Stegostoma tigrinum: one gene and its partners. The protein of the gene in region 1 binds, or shares a complex with, the protein of each later gene. Links are inferred from orthologs where the notes say so. Each region holds a gene or a part of one and is shown on either strand. Other genes may lie near its edges.

Region 1 (7,224 bases):
TGGGAGGTGCAGTTGTTTATTGCGAACCAAGCGGAGGTGTTCTGCAAAGTGGTCCCCAAGCCTCCGCTTGGTTTCCCCAATGTAGAGGAGGCCACACCGGGTACAGTGGATACAGTATACCACATTGGTAGATGTGCAGGTGAGCCTCTGCTTAATATGGAAAGTCATCTTGGGGCCTGGGATAGGGGTGAGGGAGGAGGTGTGGGGGCAAGTGTAGCATTTCCTGCGGTTGCAGGGGAAGGTGCCGGGTGTGGTGGGGTTTGAGGGCAACGTGGAGCGAACAAGGGAGTCACGGAGAGAGTGGTCTCTCCGGAAAGCAGACAAGGGTGGGGATGGATAAATGTCTTGGGTGGTGGGGTCGGATTGTAGATGGCGGAAGTGTCGGAGGATGATGCGTTGTATCCGGAGGTTGGTGGGGTGGTGTGTGAAAACGAGGGGGATCCTCTTTGGGCGGTTGTGGCGGGGGCGGGGTGTGAGGGATGTGTTGCGGGAGACGCGGTCAAGGGCGTTCTCGACCACTGCGGTCCTTGAAGAACTTGGACATCTGGGATGTGCGGGAGTGAAATGCCTTATCGTGGGAGCAGATGTGGCGAAGGAATTGGAAATAGGGATGGAATTTTTGCAGGAGGGTGGGTGGGAGGAGGTGTATTCTAGGTAGCTGTTTTTGGTCTCCAAGTCCCAGGTTCAAATTGATTGGCTAAATTAAAAATCTTGTTGTCTTGATAAACTGCTGCTTGGCCTGCTAACTGTGTAGCTTTTCAATACAAATGTTTCATGTTGGGAGCTGTCTATGTACTTGCAAACTTTTGAGCTGCTGCTCACAGACATTCCTTTTAAAGTACTAAGCATAGGAAAAGCACATGATCTTTTAAAGGGACCACTCCATGCTTTTCCCTCTAGCATTTTACAAATACCAAATTCTAACTTCATGCCTGCTAATCCTCAAGTACTCCACCCAACTTCGCAACACATGATAAGCAGCAACTGCAAACCTTACCTTGTTGTTTGGTGTTTGTGAGGATTTTTCCTGTTTTGTGTTCAAGCCGCTTACCAGCTTTAGTGGTTTCATACAAAACATAATGGCCTTTCTTTGGCAACCGCAGTGGATCAACTGTATCGCAGTATGTCGCATTGCAAATACAAACCACCGAGCTACCCCCAAAACTCCTGGCATCACATGGTTTACCAGCTGAAAAGAGAAGCAAAAACTGTTAAAACAATATCAGAGATAATGGGAACTGCAGATGCTGGAGAATTCCAAGATAATAAAATGTGAGGCTGGATAACACAGCAGGCCAAGCAGCATCTCAGGAGCACAAAAGCTTATCAGAGATAATGGGAACTGCAGATGCTGGAGAATTCCAAGATAATAAAATGTGAGGCTGGATTTTCAGAGATAATGGGAACTGCAGATTTGTGCTCCTGAGATGCTGCTTGTGTTCATCCAGCCTCACATTTTATTAACTGTTAAAACAATGCTGTGTGGGGAACTGGACGAACACAGCAGGCTAAACAGCATCAGAGGAGCAGGATGGCTGACGTTTCGGGCCAAGACCCTTCCTGCTCCTCTGATGCTGTTTAGCCTGCTGTGTTCGTCGAGCTCTATACCTTGTTATCTCAGATTCTCCAGCATCTGCAGTTCCTGCTATCTCCAGAACAATACTCTGACCCATTTTCATCCCTTCTTACACTTTGAAGGTGCTAACTTTCACTGAGGTAATGTTCCAGGCACTGGTGACACTTTGGTACATGATTCAAATAGTAATTTATCAGATGAGATTTAACAGATTTTACAATTATAATTGACAACGGGTATATTTCAAAACCTCACTTAGAGCCTTGGGTTGAAACTTGTAGAAAACAGGAAAATGTGACAGTGATCCAATAGGGAGTATCCTTGAAAAAAAATGAACTACAAACAGGAGTAGACCAACAAGCCCAATCCACTATTCACGCAGATGCAAGTGACTTGGACAGGCTAGGTGAGTGGACGGATGCATGGGAGATGCACTTTAATGTGGATAAATGTGTGGCTATACACTTTGGTGGCAAGAACAGGAAGGCAGATTACTATCTCAATGGAGTCAAGTTAGGTAAAGGGGAAACACGAGATCTAGGTGTTCTTGTACATCAGTCAATGAAAGCAAGCAAGCAGGTACAGCAGGCAGTGAAGAAAGCTAATAGCATGCTGGCCTTCATAACAAGAGGAATTGAGTACAGGGGCAAAGAGGTCCTTCGGCAGCTGTACAGGGCCCTGGTGAGACCACACCTGGAGCATTGTGTGCAGTTTCGGTCTCCAAATTTGAGGAAGGACAGTCTTGCTATTTGAGGGAGTGCAGCGTAGGTTCACGAGGCCAATTCCCGGAATGGTGGGACTATCATACGTTGAAAGATTGGAGTGACTGGCCTCGTATACTCTTGAGTTTAGAAGGATGAGAGGGGATCTGTTTGAGGTGTATAAGATTATTAAGGGATTGGACACTCTGGAGGCAGGAAGCATGTTTCCGCTGATGGGTGAGTCCAGAACCAGAGGACACAGTTTAAAAATAAGGGGTAGGCCATTTAGAACAGAGTTGAGGAAAAACTTCTTCACCCAGAGAGTGGTGGATATATGGAATGCTCTGCCCCAGAAGGCAGTGGAGGCCAACTCTCTGGATACTTTCAAGAAAGAGATGGATAGAGCTCTTAAAGATAGTGGAATCAAGGATTATGGGGATAAGGCAGGAACAGGATATTGATTGTGGATGATCATCCACGATCATAGGGCAGAATGGCCTACTCCTGCACCTATTACCTATTGTCTGATCTGATTACTCCACATTCCCACCAATCATGATAAATTTTCACATTTGCTCGACAGGAATCTATTGACATCTGCCTCAAAAATATTCAACACCTTTTGAGGGAGAACTTTAATAACTCTCAATACTCTGAGAAAAAAAAATTGTCTCTTCTCCCATCGTCCTAGATTCTTTGGAATAGGAAACATCCTCTCCACAAACACCCTTTCAAGACTCCTCAGCATCTCCCAATGATGTCTGATCTCCTGGATGAAAAGCTATCCCATATGGTTTATCTGACTGCTAGGAACAGGTTCAGGCGTGTGCAGACTGGGAAATGAGCACAAGATCATGTAACGTGCAGGATCTGCCAGCCCAGAGCAGAAGATATAATGACAATTTCTGAAAATCTGTTCATATAGGTTATGGCCATTTTCAGGTCCTGTACTGCTGAGAAATTCTGCATTCCTATTAGATCAGGTCAGATGCAACAAGTCCACAGGTTTCAATCCTCAGTATTTAATGCAATTTTTGATGCCAAGATGGATTTGGCATTGTGAACTAACATCCCAGTGAAACTAACCCTAACCCAAAGTGAGTTGGACCTACACCAGTCTACAGGAGCAGCTGAGCAGGCTAGTTTAAAAGAAACAACCTGTTTCTTGCAGACTGTTTCCAATCTGGTTGCTGAACAAGACTCAGTGCCTGCACTAATCTGTGAAACATAACTCTCAGCTCCACTTACATTACAATTCCTCACCTGAGACTGGAAGGATTGTCCAGAAAGGCAGAAAACACAAACAGAACCAAACTGTGGACATCCTGGAGGAGGAAACTGCTCCAGTTTCTCCTTGTTAGTTTCTTCAATACCTTGCTGTATCCTAATTGAACAAAAAGATACAGGGAAAAATGTTAAATATATAATCCAAATCCAGGTCTTTGATTATGTTTAATACAGAGATAGCTGGACTCTTGTTAGTAATGGGAACAAGGGTTATGATGAAAGGGCAGGAGAATAGGGTTGAGTTACATATCAGCCATGATTGAATGGTGGAGCAGACTCGACGGATGTCTTAACGGTGTAAAACTACTGTTATGGTTTTACAGTGTACAGCCAGGCATAAGGAACTACCAGGAGTAAGACTGGGCAATGTTTAGATTGACTATCCTTCATTCCTGAGTGGACTGGTAGCATTTGTTGTAAATATCACCAGGTTATTGCCCTAAAGCGTGATCTAAAAGCTTTCAGAGTGCAGTGCCTGAGCCAGTGGTGTTCTGTCAGAAGTGGCAGACTGAGGCGGCGCAGCGTAGTCAGAGGATCAGTACTGAGCAATGGGCGCCCTCAGCGCTGACCCCTCCCCTCCCCTCCCCTCCCCGACAGCGCCCGCTCCCTCGGCGCTGACCCCCCGCCGACAGCGCCCGCTCCCTCGGCGCTGTGTCTAACATTAGAACCAGTAGGAACTGCCGATGCTGGAGAATCCGAGGTAACAAGGTGTAGAGCTGGATGAACACAACAGGCCAAGCAGCATCAGAGGAGCAGGAAGGCTGACGTTTCGGGCCGAGACATCAGCTTGCCTGCTGTGTTCATCCAGCTTCCCACCGCCTCTAACATAATCGGAGCGAGACGAACCCTTCATCAGCGAGAGCCAGCCCGCCATCCCACGTGACCAAACACGGCATCACGTCCCCCACGTGACCGAGTCTGTTCGCCGCCGCTGCCTCCCACGTGATCCCCCCTCTTGCCCAGGACTGGCACTGATTTCTGTCTTGGCCGCATGGATTCTGCTGTTCAGCTCCGCCAGCGGCAGTATGGCTCGGCTCTGCCAGTACCAGGTAAGGGGCTAAGGCCGCCTGCTGTAACTCATCTCTCCTGTGGGTCTTTCGTCCCTGGCTGACGATGCTCAGGGTGCTTCGGCCTGTAGCGGTGGACTCCGCCTGGTGAAAGCCGCCCTCAATTCCAGGCCCGTATCGAGGGTTCGGGGGATGGGGGTGGACTTGCTGGCTGGGCCTGTGTTTATTGGCCTCTCTAACTGCTCCTTGCGGAAGTGCGCTAGATGTTGTCTGTTGTAATATCGGCACTCTGACAGGAAGCACCGAGGAGCTGATCGTGTTAAATAGTGCAAGGCTGCAGGAAGATAAAACACAGGGCTGAGTGCAGGGAATCCTTGTGAATGAATCTCAAAAAAATTTAACTTAGAACATTGGAGGATGGCAATTTAAGTCTAGCGAGACCCCTCCACCGTTCAATACAGTCATGGTTGAATTTCTCCTTTGCTTCATAACGCATTATCCTATTACTTATTCTGAGTAATACAGTTCTGAGGAAGGGTCCCCGGAACCGAAACATTAACAGCTTATTTTTTCTCTCCACGGATTGTGCCAGACCTGCTGAGCTTTTCCGGCAACTTCTGTTTTTGTTCCTGATTCGCAGCATCTGCAGTTCTTTCGGTTTCCAGTTAAAAATCTTTCTGCCTTCTCCTTAAAGTACTCAGTGACCTGGCATCCGATGCACTCCCCGTGACCGAATTCCATAGATCCGCCACCTCAAAAACAAATGAATAACCGTTGTAGGCGCAGCATAGATCTATTTGTGTGCTAAACACCATGTTAATACAGGTCTTAAAAACTGAAGAACTGTGGATGTTGTAAATCAGAAACAAAACCAGAAATTACAGGAAAACCTCAGCAGGTCTGGCAGCATCTGTAGAGTGAAATCAGAGTTAACGCTTCCGGCTCAGTGACTCTTTTTCAAAACATTTTTCAAAACTTATCTAAGCAATTGAGGCCATCCAGAGAAGTTCACTAGACTGATGTGAGGTCTGAAGCACTTTGTTATGAGAAGAAGTTGAGTAGACTAGCCCCAATGTGACCTTATTAGGATAGATGTGGAAAGGTTGTCTCCTCTTGACCAAATGTGTGATCCCTTATTCTGAGATCATACCATTTAAGAGAGAAATGAAGGGGAATTTCTTGAGAATTGTGAATCTGTGGAATTCCTCCCCACAAAGGCTATTGAGGCTGGATCATTAAGCATATTTGAGATTGAGGTTGACAGATTTTTAATTGGTAAGGGAATAGAGAGTTTGTGGGTGAAGAAAGCAGAAAAGTGGAGTTGTGGATTAACAGATCAGCCGTGATTTCATTGAATGGTAGAACAGAACTCTGGACTGAATGACCTACTTGTCTTCTAGTCTTACCTAACTCTCATATCACCTTATGAGTTAAGGGCGAACAGATTTCTTGAATTGCTGTAGGTAGGCTTTCAATGTGGTTAAGGATTTTGACCCAGTATCACTGAAGGAATGGGAATATATTTCCATATCAGCATGGTGGGTGAACTTGCTCGTGGTGCTCCCATGTGTCTGCTGCCCTTGTCATTCCACATGGAAGCAGTTGTGGGTTTGAAACCAGTTATGTTATACGAGGATCATATCTGTTATTTGTAATATTTGTAAATGATCTGGGTGGACATGTAGGTGGTCTGATTGCTAAGCTTGTAGACAACATGAAAATTAGTTGAGTTGTGAAAAGTAAGGAACGTTGTCAAACGATACAGCATTTCTGAAGAAGGTTCTCAGCCCAAAAGTCAGCATTCCTGCTCCTCTGCTGCTTGGCCTGCTGTGTTCATCCAGCTCTATACCTTGTTATCACAGCACAATATAGGTCAGTTGAAAAGTTGAGTGGAGTGATGGCAGATGGATTTGAACCTGGTCAAATGAATTGATACATTCTGAGAGGTCAAATGCAAGACGACAGTATACAGTAAATGGCAAGATCCTTGGGAGCATTGATATACAGAGGGATCTTGGGGTGCAAATCCATAACTCCCTGAAAGGGGCAACACAAGGGCCTCAGTAAGATAACAAGGTGTAGAGCTGGATGAACACAGCAGGCCGAGCAGGAAGGCTGATGTTTTGGGCCCGAAACGTCAGCCTTCCTGCTCCTCTGATTCTGCTTGGCCTGCTGTGTTCATCCAGCTCTACACCTTGTTATCACAGATTCTTCAGCATCTGCAGTTCCTATTATCTCTGCCTCAGTAAGAGTATGGCATGCTCCAGAAGATTATGGGCCAAATGCAGGCAAATGGGGCTACTTTAGTTTAGGATACCTGGTCAGCGTGGATGAGATGGACCGAAGAGTCTGTTTCTGTTCTGTATGACTATGCTTTCTAAGGATCTTTGGTGATTTACTTTAGTGCATCAATGCACTACTGAGTATTGGGGGGTGGAGGCAATGATTGTTTCTGGCTGTGGTGCCAATTAAGCAGGCTGCTTTGCCCTGGATGATGTCAGTTTCTTGAGTGTTACCTTTATCCAGGCAAATGACAAGTGTTCCACCACACTCCTGACTTGTGCCTTATAAATGGTGGACTGGTTTTAGGAAGATGGGAAGTGAGTTCCTCACGTAATGTTCAGTGATGATGTGCCATTGAATGTCAAGTATT
Region 2 (7,131 bases), on another chromosome or scaffold:
ATACTTTCTCAATTACAGATGTTAAGTTAACTGGCTTCTAGTTACACTTTTTTTTTGTCTCCTTTCCCTTCTAAAAAAAAGTGATACAATGGCAGTTTTTGATTCCTCTGCAACTTTTCCAGAATTTTAATGCTTTTTCATAGATTACTACCAGTGCATCAACTATCTCTGCACCTACTTCCTTTACCATTCTAGGAGGTAACCCATCAGATTCAGGGGACATATCAGCCTTTAGCCCCATTAATGTCCATAGACCTTTTCTTGAGTAATGATAGTTAATGTATTTATATCTTCTCCTCCCTCTGACCTTGATTATTTAGTACTTTTGTAATACAATTAGTCTCTTCTGCTGTGAAGACTTATACAAATTATTTAATCGACTCCTTTGCTACTCTTTGGTTCATGTTATTTCCCGAGCCTCATTCTCTAAGGAACAAATGTTCATCCAGTTATAGAGCCACACAGCATGGAAACAGACCCTTTGGTCTAACCAGTGCACATGTCCCAACATGTCCCCAAACTAATCTAGACCCACCCATCTATGCTTGGCCCATATCCCTCCAAACCTTTCCTACTCATGAACTCATCCAAAAGTATGTTAAACATTGTAACTGTACTTGTATCCACCACTGGCAGTTCATTCCACACACAAACCACTATCTGTGTAAAAAAGTTACACCTCATGTCCATTTTTAAATCCTTCTCCTCTCATCTTAAAAATATGTCCCTTAGTTTTGAACTCCCCCACCCGTGGAAAAGACCCTTGTCATTCACCTTATCAATGTGCCTCATGATTTGTAAACCTCAATAAGGTCACCATTTTGGCTTTTCACTTCCTTCTTATACATTTAAAGAAGCTCTTATGATCTGTTTTGACATTACATGCTAGTTTACCTCCAAAGCTTATTTTGTCTCTCATTTGTTCTTGATCATCTTTGTTGGTAATTAAAACCTAACCAATCCTCTAATTTCCCACTAATCCTTACCACATTGTAGCTTTTAAATCTGAAATTACCCTTTATTGGTTAACTACTTATTATTAGGTACAATACAGTATAATTGGCTCCACCATGAGCAATTGATGCGGTCTTTACATATTAAGTAGTTAAGTTCTTTTGTTAGCTTTGTGTCAAGCTCACCCCTTGTTCCTACTGCTGAAATCCTCATTCATATTTTGGTTAGCTGTTGCCCGTGTGTTAAATCAAACAAAATCCTTTTGCTTGCTGACCTACATTAGCTCCTTGTCAAAGAACATTGTTTGTAAAATTATAATCCTTGCCTTCAATTCCTCCATGGCCTCTGTAATCTCCTCCAGCCATACAATCTTTCAAGTTATCTGCACTCACCTAAATGCAGCTTCTTGACCATCCCCAATTCTAATTGCTTCACGGTTGTGGCTACACTTCAGACACCTCAGGCCTGTTGTATGAAATTTTCACTCTCTGCCTTGAAAACTCCCTTAAAACCTATCTCTTTGATCAAGGTTTTGTTTGTTTCATTTAATGTAGTTATGTATCATACTCTGAATTATACTTATCCATTGAACAGCCTTGGCACATTTTATCATTAGAGGTGCTAGATAAATGTAAGTAGTCAATGTCAAAAGTAATATTAACATTGTATACTTCACAGAGGATAATCAAACGTCCCAAATTTTATGCTTCTTCCCTATATTCCAGGCAATTGTCCTGTGTCTGAGGTTGATTGCTATCAATTTGGATCCAATTCAGTGGTTGAGACATAAAACCCAGAATAACTTTATTTTTGTTTAATCAGCCTGCTTAAACATGTAATGGCATAGTTCCTTAGGTAGGATGTGAACTCAGAGTTTCTGACCGCAAGGTAACCACTGTGGCACATTATCACTGCACTACAAGTGGCACGTGGTCTTCTTGTTGCTCCCCTTTTAAGTAAAAACTGACAGTGCTGGGGAAACTCATAAGGTCTGCCTGGATCTGCAGACAGACAATGAGAGTTCGAGTATCAATTCTGATGTGATTCTTCAGCAGAACTCTTCAGGCCCTCTTTTAAACATTTGCAGAACCCAGCCCCCACCCACTCCCACAGGATGTCCACGTTCTTCAAGGACCGCAACTTTCCCCCCCACAGTGGTCGAGAACACCCTTGACCACGTCTCCTGTATTTCCCGCAACACATCCCTCACACCCCACCCCCACAACAACCGCCCCAAGAGGATTCCCCTCGTTCTCACATACCACCCCACCAAACTCCGGATACAACGCATCGTCCTCCGACACTTCCACCATCTACAATCTGACCCCACCACCCAAGACATTTTTCCATCCCCACCCTTGTCTGCCTTCCGGAGAGACCACTCTCTCCGTGACTCCCTTGTCCGCTCCACACTCCCCTCCAACCCCACCACACCCGGCATCTTCCCCTGCAACCGCAGGAAGTGCTACACTTGCCCCCACACCTCACCCACATCCCAGGTCCCAAGATGACCTTCCACATTAAGCAGATGTCCACCTGCACATCTGCCAATGTGGTTTACTGTATCCATGGTACCCGGTGTGGCTTCCTCTACATTGGAGAAACCAAGCAGAGGCTTGGGGACCGCTTTGCAGAACACCTCCGCTCGGTTCACAATAAACAACCGCACCTCCCAGTCGCCAACCATTTTAACTCCCCCTCCCATTCCTCAGACGACATGTCCATAATGGGCCTCCTGCAGTGCCACAATGATGCCACCCGAAGGTTGCAAGAACAGCAACTCATATTCTGCTTGGGAACCCTGCAGCCCAATGGTATCAATGTGGACTTCACAAGCTTCAAAATCTCCCCTTCCCCCACTGCATCCCAAAACCAGGCCAGTTCTTCCCCTCCCCCCACCGCATCACAAAACCAGCCCAGCTCGTCCCCTCCACCCACTGCATCCCAAAACCAGTCCAGCCTGTCTCCGCTTCCCTAACCTGCTCTTCCTCTCACCCATCCCTTCCTCCCACCTCAAGCCGCACCTCCATTTCCTACCTACTAACCTTATCCCGCCTCCTTGACCTGTCCCCTCTCCACCTATCTTCTTTTCTCTCCATCTTCGGTCCTCCTCCCCCTCTCTCCCTATTTATTTCAGAACCCTCTCCCCATCCCCCTTTTCTGATGAAGGGTCTAGGCCCGAAACGTCAGCTTTTGTGCTCCTAAGATGCTGCTCGGCCTGCTGTGTTCATCCAGCCTCACATTTTGTTGTCTTATGCCTGAATATCACTTGGCTTTACTCTACTTCATAAGGAATCACACATGCAGGTTTTTCTTTTAGTTTCCTTTTATGAAGTGAATAATGTCGTTCTGAAAAAGGGTCAACTGGACCCGAAACCTTTCCTGCCTTATCTCCGTAGATGCTACCCGACCTACTGTGTTTCTCCAGCAATTACAGTAAACTGTGTGCAGAGTCTAACTTCTGAGTTTTACCTGCTATTGAAAAATTGGTATAATTAAAAATGTATGGTAGTTCATTAAAATTAATGCCAGTGGTTACTTTAACAGTTTATTCTTCCAGAGATTTTGCACTTGTTAAAAGGAATCCTAATCCCAGTGAGTGAACCAAAGTCAGTAACTGTATTTTTCCAGTGCGTAAGAGTCACACAAAACAAAGAAAAACTACACGCAATTCCTGACACTGTCCAGAAATACAATTTTATCCCTTGTACGCTGCTGATTAGTTTACCTCAATCGCCCTCAACAGGCAGGGAGGACTCTTCCCTCACTGCGAAAACAGCGCCCCCGGCAGTTGGGGAGGATTCCATTCCATCCATTGGTGCAGAAACAGCGCCCCCGGCAGTTGGGGAGGATTCCATTCCATCCATTGGTGCAGAAACAGCGCCCCCGGCAGTTGGGGAGGATTCCATTACATCCATTGGTGCAGAAACAGCGCCCCCGGCAGTTGGGGAGGATTCCATTCCATCCATTGGTGCAGAAACAGCGCCCCCGGCAGGTGGGGAGGGTCCCATTTCGTCCATTGGTGCAGAAACAGCGCCCCCGGCAGGTGAGGAGGTATAGTTTTCCCATTTCTTCCGCCTGGACCCCCGCCTCTCCTGTGGAAAGAGTTTCTCGGTCACTGTCCGATTGCTGGGGCCGGAAAGTTGTAATGTCCGCTGATTCGGCGAAGAAGCGAAAAACCAAAGTGATTCGGAGTGATGGCGGAACGGTGGAGAAGGAGAGCAGAAAGGCTCGGGGTGATGGAGACCAGGTGGGGAGAGGCTGAATCCGATGAGGCTAGGGTGCCGAGGCCTAGCCCGGCCCGACCTGTCCAGGCCAACACATTGAGCTGTTTGTTCACATACAATAAGCAGAAGGGGAGCCTAATCCCTCCTGACAGATACCTTGTTCCCCTGTGTAGGAATGACTGAACGTGAAGGGATATGAGAGCGCGAACATTTTATTTTATTGGACTTTTACCCGAAATTTCTGTTGAAACTGGTTGTGTTTGGGCTAAAGAGTATCTCAGTATCCTGTTGTCCTTTGAAAGTTGAAGTTAAAAGATAAATCTCCGCATCTGGAATTTTTTTTAATTTTAGGAGATATAATTTCAGTCTCGAGTGCTGGTATAATCAGCTGAACCGGACTAAAGTTGATTCAGTGTTTGAGCAGAAACCACAAATTTAAGAATCCTTCCTGATGTTATGTCCAACCCTTTCACATTTTATAATTCCTATTTGGCAATGTCACTTATTTAGCCACCTCAATGTACATCAGTAGTCATTATCAGTTACTGTTAATTGTTTGTAATTTCTATAAAACTGTAAAATACATGTATGTGTTCTTTATTAGGAGAGTAAAGTTTATAGTGAAGAGGCGGAAGTGGAGACACGAGACCCTGCTAAAGACTATGATATGTACAAGAAAACCTGTGAGGATCTCCAAAGGTTGATGGCTGAGATTCATGAATTAAAGAGTAAAGGAGGAAAAGATGCTGTAAGTGGCACTGAATTTATTTAAGTGAAAAAAAATCAAACACTGTGCTGAAAATCTCAGCTGAAAGTAGAAATTACTGGAAATTCTAAATCTGGAGTAGCTATGGTTAGAAGAAGAGAGGTAATGTTTCAGGCTGATAATCTTTCACCAGAGTTGATAGATCATTGAGCTGAAATGTCAACTCTTCCCTCAATTCAAGGATGCTGCCAGACTGCTGAGTATGTACAGCATGTTCTGTTTTTATTTACATTTTAATCTTTTTCCCCAGGTAAGTAGCAAGAGCAGTGAATCGCACATTCACGTCTATATTGTTTTTAAAACTTACTATAATTCAATTTGGTAGTCTAATATAGTTCCTAACTGGCCTTAGATGTTAAAACTAGACGGGCTGTAAAGGAATGAGAAGGCAGGTCAGTAAAGGCGGCACGGTGGCTCAGTGGTTAGCACTGCAGCCTCACAGCGCCGGGATCCGTGTTCGATTCCAGCTTCGGGTAACTGTCTGTGCAGAGTTTGCACATTCTCCCCGTGTCTGCATGGGTTTCCTCCGGGTGCTCCGGTTTCCTCCCACAATCCAAAGACATGCAAGCTAGGTGGATCGGCCATGTTAAATTTCCCGTAGTGTTAAGGGGTGTGTGGGTTATAGGGGGATGGGTCTGGGTGGGATGCTCCAAGGGGCGGTGTGGACTTGTTGGGCCAAAGGGCCTGTTTCCACACTGTAGGGAATCTAATCTAATCTAAAGGGTTGGGTATTTAACACCTGATGCTTGCTGAACTGCTGCTGGAAGAAATTTTAAGAACTATGGACATAATACAGAATAGTATTGTATGTATTTTTTGGATGTCATAATTTTGCTTCTGTGTTTTTATCTGTAAATAAAAATTGAATAATGGTGTAACAGAGTGATGTGGCCTGCTGTCAGAAGAGATAGTAAAATGAAGGAAATGTCTTGGGTATTTTCTCATGGTAAGCTGACTCCTTGAACCACTGCAGTTCCTCTGATACAGATATAGCTGCAGAGCTGTTGGAGAAGCAGTTCCAGGATGTTGACCCAGCAAAAGAATGATAAGGTATTGCAGCAGGTGTATGCCATATGGCCTATTGAGTCTGATCTGCATCGACTATATGAACTAGGCACAAGAATAGGCTACAGATCCTGCTCTACCATTCGATAAGGTTATGGCTGATCTAATTTTAACCTCAACTTTGCATTCTTGCATACCCTGGATAATCCTTCTTTCCCTTGGTAATCAATCTGCCATTCGATGAGATCATGGCAGAGCTGCCACTCCTGAACTGCACTTCCCCCATAACCCTTGATTCCCTTACTGATTAAAATTTTGTCTATCTCTGCTTTGCACATTCTTAACAACCTAGCCTCTGTGGTAAAGAATACCACAGATTAAACATTTTCTGAGAGAAAAGATTTCTTCACATCTCTGTCCTAAATGAGCAGCCCCTTGCTCTGACATTATGAGCAATGATATTTTTCTGGAGCAGCGATGTGTTTCCAAAACATCATGGTGAGTGATTTGGAAGATAATCTGTAAGTGGTGATGTTTCCATGTATCTGCTGTCCCGGTTTCTAAATGTTCAAGGTTGTAGGTTTGGAGACAAATGCTGTTAAAGGAGTGTTGATTTGCTGCAGTGCACCTTGTAAATAGTATACATTGCTTTCACTGCACATCGTTGGTGGAGGGAGTGATTGTCTAAGGTATTAACAGTGGTGTCAGTCAAGTAGGCTGCTTTGTCCTGGATGATGTTAAGCTTCTTGAGTGTTGTTGGAGCAGCACCATTTCAGGCAAATGGTGTCCTTTGAGAGTTTTCATTTATACCTTGTGCACGATGACAGACATTGGGGAGACAGATGGGTTACTTGTTGCAGAATTCCCTGTTCTCATAGCCACAATATAAACATTGATGGCAGGTCCAGTTCAGCATGTGGGCCTTGGTAACCCTCTGGATACTCGTAACCTACAAACCTTTGACTCAGCGATGACAATGTGGCTAACTGTGCCATGTTCACACTTTGAGGAGCTGTTAGCTGAAGATGTAAATGAAAATTAATCAAATATAATTGAAAAATCAGTAATAGGAAGAACTTCTTTATATAATTTGAGCTGACTTAATTGGGACAAAAATATTAGCATTGTTTATAATGTCATTGGATGCCATTTTGGGAGAGGAGTGGGCTAACTGGTTAG
Region 3 (7,636 bases), on another chromosome or scaffold:
TTTGTTCTTCTAGATGGAAGTGGTCATAGGTTTGGGGATGTCTGAGGATCTTTGGTGAATTTCTGCAGCACATCTTGTAGATAGTACACACTGCTGCGACTGAGTGTCGGTGGTGGAGGGAATGGATGTTTGTGAATGTAGTGCCAATCAAGTGGGCTGCTTTATCCTGGATGGTGTTGAGCTTCTTGAGTGTTGTTTGGGCTGCACCCATCTAGGCAAGCGGGGAGTATTCCATCACACTCCTGACTTGTGCCTTGTAGATGGTGGACAGACTTTGAGGAGACAGGAGGTGAGTTACTTGCTGCAGTATTCCTAGCTTCAGGCCTGCTCTTATAGCCAATGAAACACAACAAAAAGCACTCGCATTTATAAAGTGCTTTTTGTATACACAGGTCATTCCAAAGTACTTCACGGCCAATTAAATATTCTTGACGTGTAGTCATTGCTGTAACGTTGTAAACACAACAGCTAAATTGCACAGTAAAGGCTCACAAATATCCAGCAGATGTTGATTTGAGGATAAATATTTAATGAGGACATCAGGGGAACTCTCTAGTTCTTTATATTAGTACCAAGGGATCTTTTATGATCACCTAAGTGGGCAGATAGGACATTGAAAGACAGCAGCTTCAATACTGCAGCGAGCCATGCATTCATGTGAAGCTTAAATTGACAACCTCCTGACACAGGTGAGAGTGTACTGAGTCAAGGCTGACATTGGGCAGCAACCACATTGAGAAGTTCACAATATACTACATCTATTCTGAGGTGAAATTACAATATGTCAGGCATTGTGGCATTAGAAACCAGAATCCTCTCTGATTTTCCTCCTCCCCAGTGCAGGGAAATTGGCTAAGATCAGCTAGGACAGCTGCCACTTACAGTTTTAGCATTTAATACAGTAGCTCTCCAATGGTTTTGTGAGAAAATGCATAAAGGTACCACTTAAATATCTCTAGTAATGATAAGAAAGTTTGCATTAAGGCACTTTACCTAAATGCTTGTAGTATTCGCAACAAAGTAGGTGAATTAACAGCACAAATCATCTTGAATGATTATGATGGGTAGGCATCACAGAGACGTGTTTGCAGGGAGTTCAGGACTGGCGGTTAAACATCCAAGGATTTACAACTTATTGAAAAGACAGGGAGGTGGGCAGAGGGGGCGGGGTTGCCCTGTTAGTTAAGAATGAAATTAAATCTATGGCACTGAATGACATAGAGTCATATGATGTGGAGTCTGTGTGGGTGAAGTTGAGGAACCACAAAGGCAAAAAAACTATAATGGGAGTTATGTACAGGCCTCCTAACAGTGATCAGGACCAGGGGCACAAGATGCACCAGGAAATAGATAGGGCATGTCAGAAAGGCAAGGTCATGGTGATCATGGGGGACTTCTATATGCAGGTGGACTGGGTCAACAATGTTGCTGGTGGATCCAAAGAAAAGGAATTCATGGAATGCTTACAGGATGGCTTTTTGGAACAGCTTGTGATGGAGCTCACAAGGGAGCAGGCTTCCTCAACCAACGCCTCCTCTATTTATTCAGCCACTTCCCCCAGAACTCAAGGATGTAGCCCATCAGGGCTAGGAGATTTATGAATTTTTAGACCTTTTAGCTTTTCTAGCACTTTCTCTTTTGTAATGCCTACCGTACTCAACTCTGCCCCCGACTCTCCTTAATTGTTGGCATACTACTCATGTCTTTCACTGTGAAGACTGATGCAAAGTACTTATTAAGTTCTTCAGCTATTTCCTTATCTCCCATCACAAGCCTTCCAGCATCAGTTTGGAGCGGCCCAATATCTACTTTTGCCTCTCGTTTGTTTCTTATGTATTGAAAGAAGCTTTTACTATCATTTCTAATATTACTAGCTAGCCTACCTTCATATTTGATCCTCTCCTTCCTTATTGCTCTCTTTGTTATCCTCTGTTTGTTTTTGTAGCCTTCCCAATCTTCTGATTTCCCAGTGTTCTTGGCCACTTTATAGGCTGTCTCTTTTTCTTTGATATATTTCCTGACTTCCTTTGTCAGCCATGGCTGTCTAATCTCCCCCCCACCCCCGCCGGATAATCTTTCATTTCTTTGGGATGAACCTCTGTACTGTGTCCCCAATTTCACCCAGAAAGAGTTGAGTATGGTAGGCATTACAAAAGAGAAAGTGCTAGAAAAGCTAAAAGGTCTAAAAATTGATAAATCTCCTGGCCCCGATGGGCTACATCCTCGGGTTCTGAGGGAGGTGGCTGAGGAAATAGCGGAGGTGTTGGTTGTGATCTTTCAAAAGTCACTGGAGTCAGGGAAAGTCCCAGATGATTGGAAAATTGCTGTTGTAACCCCCTTGTTTAAGAAAGGATCAAGGCAAAAGATGGAAAATTACAGACCGATTAGCCTAACCTCGGTTGTTAGTAAAATTCTAGAATCCATCGTGAAGGATGAGATTTCTAAATTCCTGGAAATGCAGAGTCAGATTAGACAAGTCAGCATGGATTTAGTAAGGGGAGGTCATGCCTGACAAACCTGTTAGAATTCTTTGAAGAGGTAACAAGTAGGTTAGACCAGGGAAACCCAGTAGATGTTATCTATCTAGACTTCCAAAAGGCCTTTGATAAGGTGCCTCACGGGAGGCTGCTGAGTAAGGTGAGGGCTCATGATGTTTGAGGTGAGCTACTGGCATGGATTGAGGATTCGCTGTCTGACAGAAGGCAGAGAGTTCAGGTAAATGGCTCTTTTTCAGAATGGCAACCGGTAACAAGTGATGTCCCTCAGGGTTCATTGTTGGGGCCGCAGCTGTTCACTTTATATATTAATGATCTGGATGAAGGGACTGGGGACATTCTGGCGAAGTTTGCGAATGATACGAAGTTAGGTGGACAGGCAGGTAGTACTGAGGAGGTGGGGAGGCTGCAGGAAGATTTAGACAGTTTAGGTGAGTGGTCCAGGAAATGGCTGATGAAATTCAACGTGAGCAAATGCGAGGTGTTGTACTTTGGAAAAAAGAATACGGGCATTGACTATTTTCTAAATGGTGAGAAAATTCATAAAGCCGAAGTACAAAGGGATCTGGGAATGCTAGTCCAGGATTCTCTAAAGGTTAACTTACAGGTTGAGTCTGTGATTAAGAAAGCGAATGTAATATTGTCACTTATCTCAAGAGGGTTGGAATATAAAAGCGGCGATGTGCTTCTGAGACTTTATAAAGCTCTAGTTAGGTCCCATTTAGAATACTTGTTCCAATTTTGGGCCCCACATGTCAGGAAGGACATACTGGCGCTGGAGCATGTCCAGCAGAGATTCACATGGATGATCCCTGGAACGGTAGGTTTAACGGACAATGAATGGCTGAGGATCCTGGGATTGTATTCATTGGAGTTTAGAAGGTTGAGGGGAGATCTAATAGAAACTTACAGGATAATGTATGGTTTAGAAAGGGTGGACGCTAGGAAGTTGTTTCCATTAGGTGGGGAGACTAGGACCCATGGGCACAGCCTTAGAATTAGAGGGGGTCAATTTAGAACGGAAATGAGGAAACATTTCTTCAGCCAGAGAGTGGTGGGCCTGTAGAATTCAATGCCATGGAGCGCAGTGGAGGCCGGGATGTTAAATGTCTTTAAAGCAGAGATTGATAAATTCTTGATCTCATAAGGCAGTAAGGGCTACGGGGAGAGTGCAGGGAAGTGGAGTTGAAATCAGCCATGATTAAATGGCGGAGTGGACTTGATGGGCCGAATGGCCTTACTTCCACTCCTGTGTCTTATGGTCTTATGACCAAATGGTCCCAGTATTAACCCCAGCTTGTAATGAGTTGTTTGACCTCAGATAGCGAAGTACTGGGTTAAAATTGGCCTCACCAGCCCGAAGCAACGGAGGGAGGTATCAGTCAGAGTTGCTCCCTTTGATCACTCTCCAGTGAACTGTGGTAGGGAATAGGTTTGGACAGTACATAAGGACAAGATTAAGCTTCGTTCCGAAGCCCACAGGTTCCAAGTGCTGATACTCATGCATTAAGAATTCAGCTTCAAACTTTTATCCAGTTCAGAAGTGGTAACTCAATTAAAAACATCGCCAAATGTTCTCACAAGACTGGTCCACTTGCAAACGTAAATGTACAACAGGTCTGCACACGTACAATCTTTACAAAAAAAACACGACAGGCTGTTTGGTAAAAGGTTTTCCTTTCTGTGCTTGCCATTTCCACAATTTTCTGTTCATTGACACAAATAAACAAAGATGAATGGATTAGCAATTGCAGAAACAGCTCTCCTTTCTGATATTCATCCTTGAAGATTACTGAATATCTGGTGGTTATTCCGATGAAGATGGCCACCAAACCACTCACTGGCAAGAGTCGCGTATGATAATTTTCCATAGGATTTATTGTCATCGCTCTCACCATAATTGTGCATAATTTTAAAATTTCAATCTAACTAGTATTTGCTGTTAAACGTTGGGCAATATATTTGTAAGTTTTTGCTGTATTAATTTATTTCTTTTTTCTCCTTATTCCGATAGTAACGGCATATTGAACACACCCACCCCTGTCTCTTTTGAGCCAATGGTGAGGTAGCTTGTTGATCAGTGAGTAAGGCGGATGCCTATTGGATAGGTGGTGAGCGGGTAAGAGTCTGGCAAGATGGCGGACAGAACGGCGGTGGATATCAGCAAATTGAAGGTAAAGGGAGTTTAGATAGGGATAATGTGTTCGCCGTTAGAGCGAAGGTTTTGTGATTTAGTGACTATTACGTACTTCACTTTTTCTGTTCCGATTCTGCTCAGAAATTCTCCTCTGGAGACCCGTAGAGTGGGCTATATTTTCCCTCCTCTTGAAGGTGGGGTTGCTTTTTCCTCCCCGTGCTAGTCTAACATTCTTCGAACGTTTTAAGCAGCTTAGTCGTGTGGGACGTGTTTTGAGTGTCACATTGAAAGGAAACGAATAAGTTTCCGGAATGGCCGATTAACTAAGTGCACCGCCCATGGATCACATAGAAATAGGAAACCGTGCCCCCGCACGGTTATTTGGTCTGAACTGGGGCTGTTTGTTCCGTTCTAAAGATATTTCAAATGGGTTATGGCTCCACGAACATCTGAACAAGTGGACGAAACGTTTAAGAAAAGCAGTCTTTTTTTAAAAATGCTGTAACTAAGGAAGCTGTATAAAAGCTAACTTGCACAAACCGTTGCTTGATCCACTGCTAAACCATCTTTCTGGGTGCTTAAAATGTACATTGAAGGCAAAATTCTGTAGATTCGCACTCATAGAAGTTGGGGAAATTTATAACGCAGGACGCAGAAATTGGAGCAAAGAACTTGAGCCATTTTGAAAGTTTTATTTTAAATTGGCACTGGATCCTAGTGTTATGAGTCAGAAAAGGCTACCCTATCGTTGCACAATTGATGGGTTGTCAATTTTAAATTCCCATAAGGAGAACAGTACTGGGATTACTTTGGGATAGGTAACTGATTGTGAGAAGAAAGTGAAGTTACTGGAATGGTTTTGGATTGATTCAGCTAAGAACTAGCATAAATGTGAAAAGGAAAGATGTGAAATTCATGTTGATTTTCAAAGAATGTGGGGCTGATTTGTACAAGGAGTGTAGAAAGTTGAAATGCATGTACAGCAAGCAATTAAGAATGCAAGTGGCATGTCCTTTTATTATTTGAGGATTGGAGTGCAGCAAACAAATCCTTGCTTTAATTGAACATGGTTTTGAAACAAGGTATGTGCAGTTTAATTTCCATTTTTAAGGGAGATTATACTTGTGTGCAGAGGCAGTACAGCAAAGGTTCACTAAATCAGTCATGGGGATGAGGGGATTGTCCTGTATTGAGACTGAATAGTTTGGGCAATGTTTACCAGAGTTGAAAAGAATGAAAGGCGCTGTCATTGAAAGGTACAAGATCCTGAGTAGACTCTGGGTAGACAGATTATTTTCACTGATTGGGGAGCCAAAAACATGGTGGCTTACTTTCTGGATAAGAGAGTAACTACTTGGGGCTAGCTGAGGAGAAATTGCTTCACTTGAAGGATTGTGAAGGTTTGTGGATAGATGGATTTTTGATGCCTTGGAATCAAGGGAATGGGGAGCGACCAGGAAAGGGAGTTGAAGCCAAAGATCAACCGCATTGTAATGAATGAAGCAGGCTGACCCAGCCATGTAGTCCACTCCAATTTCCTGAATCCTTTCTTTACTGAAAACCTCCATGGTTCTGACTATTTGTTTGTTCTCATTGTGCTTTAGTTGACTGAACTGAGACAAGAATGTGCTTCACGGGAGCTGGATACTAAAGGAAACAAGCAAGATCTCATCCAGAGACTGCAGGCTTACCTGGAAGAACATGGTAAAATCATGATGGATATTTAATCTCAAACAATTTATTTTTAATAAATAAAATTACTTAGGAATTTATGAAGAGTTGTGGATTTCTTTCATTACCATACATATGCTGACTTTGGCACATTTAAGATTGTATTTTACAAATTATTACATAGAATTCAGAATAATAAATTAGCTGAGTGCTGGATGAAACAGTTGCCATTACAGGTAATTGTCTTTGTTAGAGAGTCAGAGATTATACAGCAGAGAAACAAGTCCTTTGGTTCAACTTGTCTCAATGACCAGATATCCGAAACTGATCTAGTCCCATATGCTTGCATTTGGCCCATTCCCCGCTTAAACATTTCCTATTCATATACCCACCCAGATGTCTTTTTAAAATATTGTAATTGTTCCAGCCTCCTCCACCTCTTGTGGCAGCCTGTTCCATCCATGCTCCACCCTCTGTTGCCTCTTCAGTCCCTTTTAAATCTTTCCCCTCACCTTAAACCTATGCCCTGTAGTTTTAGACTCCCCCACCCTGGGAAAAAGACCTTGTCTATTTGCCCTATCTATGCCCCACATGATTTTATAAACCTCAGCCAGTGCTCTGGGGGAAAAGCGCCAGCCTGTGTCAGTTGATCAGAGTGCTTGAGTTGCATCCTTATGTTATTTGATTACCACTTTTTTGAGAGTCTTAAATTTTGTGCTTTAGTTTTGCTGTAATTTCAACAATTACTGTAGTTAACTGATTAATTGCTATCTTTTCCCTTCAACTTGAAGTTGACTTTTTTTTGCAGATGTGTATCTAGTTGCGCCTTGAGCAATGTGCACACCCCCTCTGATTCAGGTTTTTGGAAACAAAATAGGTGCACTGTGTGTGTAGATTAAATAAATCTACGTATTCCACGGAAGTGGTTCACTTCTGTCTATCAAACGAGTGAAAGGCAAGTTTAGGACTTTGCGATAATAATTGACATCACAAATTGGCATTCATTTATGATAGTTAATGCAAATATTTTGAAATTAATTGACTTGTAGAAGCAGTTGGAGACTTTCATTGAAAATACCTCCACACTTATTTAGAATGTTCTAAAGTAGGCCAAGATACTTCCCTGTACTGTATTCATCTTGTCCTTGTGTCGTGTAGTGCCAGGCATTCAGATTAGACTGCAATTTCAGTACCTGATCTCTGTTGAAAATTACCACTTATAATTCAGGTTTACAGGCTTTTTAAAACTTTTTTTGGTTTAACCTTCAGTTTGCTATATGTGATTCTTTTCCTGTGTATTTTTTAATTATATGATGTTAAAGTGTACACTTTT

Evidence for each region. Proteins that work in one complex are often made in the same cells at the same time.
Region 2: chtopa (region 1) and thoc5 share a complex: the UniProt entries of both Homo sapiens proteins name them as parts of the transcription/export (TREX) complex. The link is inferred for Stegostoma tigrinum from reciprocal best matches to the Homo sapiens genes CHTOP and THOC5.
Region 3: chtopa (region 1) and sarnp share a complex: the UniProt entries of both Homo sapiens proteins name them as parts of the transcription/export (TREX) complex. The link is inferred for Stegostoma tigrinum from reciprocal best matches to the Homo sapiens genes CHTOP and SARNP.

Annotation. Positions count from the first base shown.
Region 1 is NC_081400.1:101,191-108,414, forward strand, and holds the start of chtopa (chromatin target of PRMT1a), read left to right. Parts: upstream 1-4,191; 5' UTR 4,192-4,555; coding exon 4,556-4,613; intron 4,614-7,224. Other genes in the region: gba1 (lysosomal acid glucosylceramidase), read right to left, coding at 998-1,189, 3,541-3,601. UniProt on the Homo sapiens protein: Plays an important role in the ligand-dependent activation of estrogen receptor target genes. May play a role in the silencing of fetal globin genes.
Region 2 is NC_081379.1:20,913,970-20,921,100, forward strand, and holds the start of thoc5 (THO complex subunit 5 homolog), read left to right. Parts: upstream 1-4,026; 5' UTR 4,027-4,102; coding exon 4,103-4,204; intron 4,205-4,785; coding exon 4,786-4,929; intron 4,930-7,131. UniProt on the Homo sapiens protein: Component of the THO subcomplex of the TREX complex which is thought to couple mRNA transcription, processing and nuclear export, and which specifically associates with spliced mRNA and not with unspliced pre-mRNA.
Region 3 is NC_081404.1:18,537,330-18,544,965, forward strand, and holds the start of sarnp (SAP domain-containing ribonucleoprotein), read left to right. Parts: upstream 1-4,531; 5' UTR 4,532-4,630; coding exon 4,631-4,669; intron 4,670-6,236; coding exon 6,237-6,336; intron 6,337-7,636. UniProt on the Homo sapiens protein: Binds both single-stranded and double-stranded DNA with higher affinity for the single-stranded form. Specifically binds to scaffold/matrix attachment region DNA. Also binds single-stranded RNA. Enhances RNA unwinding activity of DDX39A.